Macaca mulatta: one gene and its partner. The main gene of each other region encodes a partner of the protein of the gene in region 2 in a complex. Links are inferred from orthologs where the notes say so. Each region holds a gene or a part of one and is shown on either strand. Other genes may lie near its edges.

Region 1 (4,123 bases), on a different chromosome or scaffold from region 2:
AGGTCGAGGCGGGTTGATCACCTGAGGTGGGGAGTTGGAGACCAGCCTGGCCAAAGTGGTGAAAGTCAGTCTCTACTAAAAATACAAAAAATAGTCGGGCGTGTGGAGGCGGATGTCTGTAATCCCAGCTACTCAGGAGGCTGAGGCAGGATAATTGCTTGAACCCGGGAGGCAGAGGTTGCAGTGAGCCGAGATCGCGCCACTGCACTCCAGCCTGGGCAACAGAGCAAAACTCCGTCTCAAAACAAACACAAAAAGATTTCTTCTTTTGAGATGGAGTTTCGCTCTTTTCTCCCAGGCTGTAGTGCAATGGCATGATCTCGGCTCACTACAACCTTCGCCTTCCGGGTTCAAGCGATTCTCCTGCCTCAGCCTCCCGAGTAGCTGGGAGTACAGGCGCCCGCCACCACGCCCGGCTAATTTTTGTATTTTTAGTAGAGACGGGGTTTCACCACGTTGCCCAGGCTGGTCTCGAACTCCCGACCTCAGGTGATCGACCCGCCTCGACCTCCCAAAGTGCTGGGATTAAAGGCGTGAGCCGCCGCGCCCGGCCACATTTTTTTCGATCTGTTGTCTAGGCTGGCGTGCAGTGGCACAATCCCGGCTCACTGCTGCCCCGGCCTCCTGGGCTAAACGGAGCCTCCCGATTCGCCTAAGAAAATGGTGGGATTACAGGTATGAGCCACGGCGCCCGTCTGTGATCTACATTTGATTTAGGCAACTTTCTGTGTTTCTCAAGTTTAACTATAACGTGGTTAAAATTCAAAAGTCAGCCCCTGCTCTCACACAGGCGCTTCCTCCCTCCTGGGATGGAGCCTGTCCTCCCCTCTCCCGGGGCACAGCCCTTTACTCCGTCTTGGCCCCGCCTACTTCTCCATTGGCCCTGCCCCCTATCCCGAACGCTTAGTGACGCAAAGGCTGGAGACGACTCTACGCGAGCGAAAAGACGCGGGTTGAGGAAGAGTTACGGACTGCCCATGCGCTTGGGCGCACAGCGGCCCGCTTCGGTGTGGTCTGGAGGTGGAGCTGAGAGGGGAATCACACTCTATAAAGGTGCGCACACCCCACTGGCGGATTAAATTGCGGCAGTGACGTCACAGAGGGACCGCCCCGCCCCCACAAGACCCCACCGACGTGGGGTTGGCCGTGGTGGAAGGACCCGGAGTGGGCGCGTGCGTACTGGCAGCCTCTCCCGCCCCGACCGGCCTGGGCCCCGCCCCCGGGCGTGCGGCGCCCAATGCGCGTGCGCGGCGGCGTCGGCGCCAGTTATTTCTGTCCCGCCCCCCGGCCTCGGCTCTTTCTGCGAGCGGGCGCGCGGGCGAGCGGTTGTGCTTGTGCTTGTGGCGCGTGGTGAGGGTTTCGGCGGCGGCTGAGGAAGAAGCGCGGGCGGCGCCTTCGGGAGGCGAGCAGGCAGCAGTTGGCGGTGCCGCAGCAGCGTCCCGCGCGCGGCGGGCAGCGGCCCAGGAGGCGCGTGGCGGTGCTCGGCCTCGCGGCGGCGGCGGCGGCGGCCCAGCAGTTGGCGGCGAGCGCGTCTGCGCCTGCGCGGCGGGCCCCGCGCCCCTCCTCCCCCCTGGGCGCCCCCGGCGGCGTGTGAATGGCGGCCTCGGCGGCGGCAGCCTCGGCAGCAGCGGCCTCGGCCGCCTCTGGCAGCCCGGGCCCGGGCGAGAGCTCCGCTGGCGGCGAAAAGCGCTCCACCGCTTCTTCGACCGCGGCCTCGGCCTCGGCCTCGGCCTCGGTGTCGTCGCCCGCGGGGGGCGGCGCCGAGGCGCTGGAGCTGCTGGAGCACTGCGGCGTGTGCAGAGAGCGCCTGCGACCCGAGAGGGAGCCCCGCCTGCTGCCCTGTTTGCACTCGGCCTGTAGTGCCTGCCTAGGGCCCGCGGCGCCCGCCGCCGCCAACAGCTCCGGGGACGGCGGGGCTGCGGGCGACGGCGCCGGTAAGTACGAAGTGATCGGGGCCACCCCTCCCCCTACTCTCTGCCTTTGATTCCCACTGGGTGCAGAGATGAGGATGCCACCTGGGCAAGAGGATGGGGGCCCGGACAGTGCACGGGGAGTACTTTCTGGGTCCTGCATAGGAACGTGGGTTTGAGCTGGCCGCTGAGATGAGACATCTGACTAAAGTTGGAGAAAGGGCTCAGGGAGGGGAGGGGAGGGGCTGCCTCGCTGCGGGGTAATGGTCGGGGGCCCACCCAGCACGGGGATGCGGGGGGCCATAACTTGGGTGGGAACTTGTAACAGTCTCCCACATCCCTGCCTCTTGAAGTGGTGGACTGTCCCGTGTGCAAGCAACAGTGCTTCTCCAAAGACATCGTGGAGAATTATTTCATGCGTGATAGTGGCAGCAAGGCTGCCACCGACGCCCAGGATGCTAACCAGGTGCGTCCAACCGCAGCAACCACAGGGAGGTTTCTGGGGAGGGGGCATCTGCCCAGGAGGAGCTTGACACCAGCTCCCAGGCTGTTACTCGACTTTCCCAAGGCTCTGGGTGGGCTGTCTAGGCTGGGTCAAGGGACCAATCTTAATCTTGGGTTGTATTTTCTGAGGTGTAGATGTGGATCTAGCAAGTTGTCTTGCTTTCTCTGACCCTGCCTTTGTCTGGCAGTGCTGCACTAGCTGTGAGGATAATGCCCCAGCTACCAGCTACTGTGTGGAGTGCTCGGAGCCTCTGTGTGAGACCTGTGTAGAGGCGCACCAGCGGGTGAAGTACACCAAGGATCACACTGTGCGCTCTACTGGTACGTGAGGCTGAGGGGGCTGTTGCTTTCCCGTGTGTGCCCTCAGTTGCTTTTATAATGTTGGTTGCATTTGGTGGATGGGTCCTAGAGTTGTCCAGGGGGTGCCGCCCGAAGGGCTGGAGAGCAGAACTCCAAAAGCAGGAAAATTGTGGTTGTGGTGTGTAGTCTCTAGGGCTTAGGTGGGAGGGGGTGGGAAGGGGAGACGTGGAGACCTTAATGTGCTGCAGGGAGGTACAGAGGGTTTGAGGAAGCTTATCAGGGAGTTCTCAGTCCTGGTGTTGAAGGGCTCAGAATATGCAAACAGGGAAAGGCATGGTGTGAAGGGCTTACTGGGTTTGTGGTTCCCTGGCACACATCTGGTATAAGATGCTGTTAGGGAAAATGAGACTTTGTGGGTCCATGGGTTATAAGTGATGGTGATTTCTGGAAACGTTTTAGCTTTTGAGTTGGCAGAGACTTACCCGGAGTTTGGTTTGGCATTTCCAGCTTTTCGCAGACACTCGCTAGCTTTGATTTGGAAAGGAGCTTGAGAGTCTTTTGAGTGTAGCCCAGTTTTTGGGCCAAAATCCTCCCATGAGTGGCCTTTTGGTAGCCATACCGTGATTCTTCCCATCCCAGAGGCCAGCATTGGTGGAAGATAGTGGGAAAGTGGCGGCTGTGGGGCCTGAGGAGCCAGGAGGGATAGGCAGGGGCTGCAGGGTGTCCTACATTCCAGACGTCCCAAGCAAAGGTCAGGGTGCAGGAATGGTGGCACTGGGGAAGTCAGTTTCCCCAGTGAGCCCTGATGCTACGTATTTTGGATTTGGTTGGTATGTTGGACCACTATGCTTAATCGGTTTTCTAATGGGGAAGCAGGCTTTGAAGGTTATTAATGTGTTGGTCTTGGGGTGGAATTATGCTGAGCACCAAGCTCCTGGTCTAGAGGGGGTGTGACCACCATTCTGAGGGTCCTAGTTTGACATTTTATCTCTCCCAGTATGAGAACCTCTACAGGTTTTCTCTGGGCTCTTGGGTTGTAAGAGACCCTGGTGTTTTCTTGTCACGAAAGAGGGAGGAAGTTAACCATGAAAGGAGAAGAAAAGGAGTCCAGGGTGGTTTGTAGGCAGAATTCTGAATATGTCCACTTGGAGAATAAAGGGAACAGTGTGTGTGGGGGGGTAGTCCTCTTTTTCCGGAGGCTGTCCTTACCTTTACCTTTGTGTCACCTCTAGAAGCTAGAAGAAAGGGTTGTGTTTCTCAGCTATGTTGGGGCAGAGGTTTCTGGGAGCAAGGAATTGGGCTTGCAGGCCTGTGTTCTTCGCTGGCCACACCCTCTACATCTTCCCAATAAATGGCCCAGTGTCACAGAATGGGCAGGAAATGAGGCCCCAACTTAGTCTGCTTCCTGA
Region 2 (3,629 bases):
CTCAGCCTCCTGAGTGGCTGGGATTACAGGTGCCCGCCACTACGCCCAGCTAATTTTTTGTAGTTTTAGTAGAGACAGCGTTTTACCATGTTGGCCAGGCTGGTCTCAAACTCCTGACCTTAGGTGATTTACCCACCTTGGCCTCCCAAAGTGCTGGGATTATAGGCGTGAGCTACTGCACCTGGCCAACCCATTTTCTTTTTTAAATTTTTTTATATTATTTTAAACTTACGGAGAATTTCAAACATTTATAAAAGTAGAATTTCATAATGAAACTGTCTGCTCATATGTTACTTCACCCCTTTGAAAGTTACCATTTGATAATGACACCACTCTTCTTTCATCTATACCCCAGACTTCTCCCCAGGATTATTTTGAACCAAATTCTAGGCGTTATTTAATCTGTAAATATTTTAGTATGTTATCTCTAAAACAGTAAGGACTTCCCCCCCTTTATTATACCTAAAAGATTAACATTAATTTTCCTTACACTAAAAGGTTCTATGATTTAGGTATTTTATCAGGTGTTAATTTTATTAAATTTTTCTGATCATACTATAAATTATTTTTATTTTGAAGTATACTGTGTTCTGTTTTGTTTTAAGGAACCTACACATTGTGAGGCTAACCCTGACCTGATCTTTGAAGATATGGAAGTTATGACAGACTTTGAACTACATGTACTTTGTAAACAGTATCGACACATTAATAACTTTCAATTAGACATGGACTTGATTTTAGATTCTGGAAAATTTCGAGTTTTAGGATGCATCTTGTCTGAATTGAAACAGAAGGTATTAAAGAAGAATGGTGTTTCTTGTATTTTCTCAATTACTTAAACTTCTTAAAGCAATTCTGGCACACTGACTTGCTTTAATTAGCTTATGTCTGTTCTGCATTCTTCCAGAACTTAGTGTTTTGAACATTTTCTTGACATATTTTCTTGATTACCTCCTTTCCTCTGTTGAACCTCAAAAACAATAGAAAGTTAGTAGACTGTATCTGTATTGATGTTTTGAAAAAATCTTAATTGTCATTATTTCATAGGTGACAATCTGTATGTGTGCTAAGAAATTAGTTTTTAAAAACACCATTCATTAAATAGTTATTTAAGTAATACTGCCGTTTATGTGTGAAATAGCCTAAATTTGTAAAATCACAGTCCAGATAGGACACACATATGCAATTGTTCATATTTTCTGACATTTTTCTTACGAAAAGGAAGTAATTTAACTGTTCTTAAAATCAAAACTGAGAGCTAACTTTTAGCCTTGAAGTTTAGAGGCTAAGGCAGTATATTCATATGTAGGCTACAATAAAATGTATATCTTCGGTATTATTGATTTCTATTAAAGAAGCAGTTGATCATAGAGAATTTTCTGCAAATTTATCAACATGATATAAGTAACACTTCTAACTGTTTAGACCTGTCAAGGCTTAAGTAAAACAATTTTTTCTATTTCTAACTCGTATATCTATTTTCACAGGGTGATAGAGTTGTATTGTTTAGCCAATTTACCATGATGCTGGATATCTTAGAGGTTCTGTTAAAACATCATCAGCATAGGTACCTCAGATTAGATGGAAAGACTCAGATTTCTGAAAGGTTGGTATACTTCATGTTCCAAAAAAAAAACCACTCATTTGTTGTTGTTGTTAGAATTTTAAATGTCTAGAGTACTTGATAGAATTTTGTTGTTTTTATGTTTGATTACTTCAAATCATTGCCTTAAAATAAGAGTAATTTCAATGATCAGGCCTGGTGGCTCACACCTGTAATCCCAACACTTTGGGAGGCCGATGACGGTGGATTGCTTGGGCTCAGGAGTTCAAGACTACCCTGAACAACATGACAAAACCCTGTCTCTACTAAAAATACCAATAACAACAACAGCAACAAAAATAGCTAGGTGTGGTGGTGCACGCCTATGGTCCCAACTGGGGAGGCTGGGATGGGAGGATTGTTTGAGCCCTGGTGGGCAGAGGTTACAGTGAGCCAAGATCACACCACTGCACTGCAGCCTGGGTGACAGAGTGGGACCCTGTCTCAAAAAATAAATAAATAATTTTCTTTTAATTTTTCTGTCTGAATTGCATACAAATACCTTTTGAAACAGCTGTTAGAATTGTATTTTTTATGATTTTCACCTTTAAAATTTTTTCAAAGTCTAAAACACCTTATCTTTCATCAAGATTGTTTTAAAGTCTTTCATATTCTATGGGTAAAGTTTTTTTCATTCCCAAAGGTTGTAAAGATTGACCTTAGTAAAGAAGGGATTGTCTTAATAAGGAAGGAATTGTGTAGTATGTTTAAATTGAATTATATATTTTGGTTTATTTTTTTTCTGTTGTCCAGAGTGGTTTTTTTCCCCCCAGCATTAGAGTAAAGGTAAAAATAATGTTGTGTTTTGTTTTTTTTTTAAAAGAGGAGAATCCACTGATACAATGATACACTGATCGTGAGGTCCTTGATTCATCAGGAATGCTGTCTGCCAGTAGGAGCTGATATACTTCTGAGAAGGCTAAAGATTGAAAAGCCATACACAAAATTTAGCTAAGCCACAAGTTAAAAAAGAACAAAATCGTCATTTAGGAATTAATTGAATCTGAATAGTTGAATTGAAGTAAGAGTTGGTAGGGGTAGCAATATCGTAGAAAAGAAGTTGGTGAATTGAGGAGGCTCTTCCATGATATAGCCAGAGGAGAAGTAACTGCAATACCAAGGGATGTATATACATCTTCGGGTTTCCTTTTCATGTGATAATGATTGTTTTCCATTTTAATTACATGATACAACTTTTTAGTGAGATTTAACCTAATTTGTTTATCTTACAGGATTCATCTAATTGATGAGTTTAATACCGATATGGATATCTTTGTGTTTCTGCTATCAACAAAAGCTGGTGGATTAGGAATAAATCTGACTTCAGCAAATGTTGTTATACTTCACGACATTGACTGTAATCCTTATAATGACAAACAAGCAGAAGATAGATGCCATAGAGTAGGCCAGACTAAGTAAGTGTTTTTAGTTGAAATGTATTTTTAATTCAGTGCCACTTTAATTTGTGTAGACCAATAGAATATAGTGTTGGATATCCTGCCTTAGTTTTTATTTTTTCAGCAAAGCATGGCTACATATGTATTTTATGCCAGCAGTGTTGAACATCGACTGCACTGAGTAACCCTTCCATTTTCTAGTAATTAAAACCATCCACCCGGATTCCAAATAGTTCTGCAGTTCATGAAGTATTAACAATTGTCTGCGCCTTTGAAAAAGATGAGTAATTGAAAAGACTTGCTTATTAGACCAGTTTAAGACCCAGACAAACTTCATAATACACAAATTATTGCTGGGCTGTCCTGTTACCCTTTAGGAAGTAAACTGAGTTGTAAATTATTTTAGATGAATGGTAATTTTGACATTGGTCACAGCACTGTAAAGAGGTGAAGATAGTCGGGTGCAGTGGCTCACACACTTTGGGAGGCCGAGGTGGGTGGATCATGAGGTCAGGAGATCGAGGCCATCCTGGCTAACACGGTGAAACCCTGTCTCTACTAAAAATACAAAAAAAAAGATTAGACAGGCGTGGTGGTAGGCACCTGTAGTCCCAGCTACTCGGGAGGCT

What was found. The genes of interacting proteins can lie anywhere in the genome.
Region 1: the proteins of SMARCAD1 (region 2) and TRIM28 are in contact, whole or in part, in a crystal structure (PDB 6H3A), measured with the Homo sapiens proteins. The link is inferred for Macaca mulatta from reciprocal best matches to the Homo sapiens genes SMARCAD1 and TRIM28. Residues at the interface, in NP_001362784.1 of Homo sapiens: Asp156, Leu157, Ala160, Lys161, Gln163, Thr164, Glu167, Leu168, Phe169, Asp188, Gly189, Ala190, Ala192, Leu196, Ala201, Gly202, Gly203; in NP_005753.1 of Homo sapiens: Arg330, Trp333, Thr334, Lys337, Ile338, His341, Leu376, Lys377, Ile379, Val380, Asp381, Val383.

Annotation. Positions count from the first base shown.
Region 1 is NC_133424.1:70,682,074-70,686,196, forward strand, and holds the start of TRIM28 (transcription intermediary factor 1-beta), read left to right. Parts: upstream 1-1,296; 5' UTR 1,297-1,594; coding exon 1,595-1,934; intron 1,935-2,263; coding exon 2,264-2,376; intron 2,377-2,602; coding exon 2,603-2,735; intron 2,736-4,123. UniProt on the Homo sapiens protein: Nuclear corepressor for KRAB domain-containing zinc finger proteins (KRAB-ZFPs).
Region 2 is NC_133410.1:103,630,603-103,634,231, forward strand, and holds part of SMARCAD1 (SWI/SNF-related matrix-associated actin-dependent regulator of chromatin subfamily A containing DEAD/H box 1), read left to right. Parts: intron 1-605; coding exon 606-794; intron 795-1,487; coding exon 1,488-1,606; intron 1,607-2,835; coding exon 2,836-3,018; intron 3,019-3,629. UniProt on the Homo sapiens protein: DNA helicase that possesses intrinsic ATP-dependent nucleosome-remodeling activity and is both required for DNA repair and heterochromatin organization.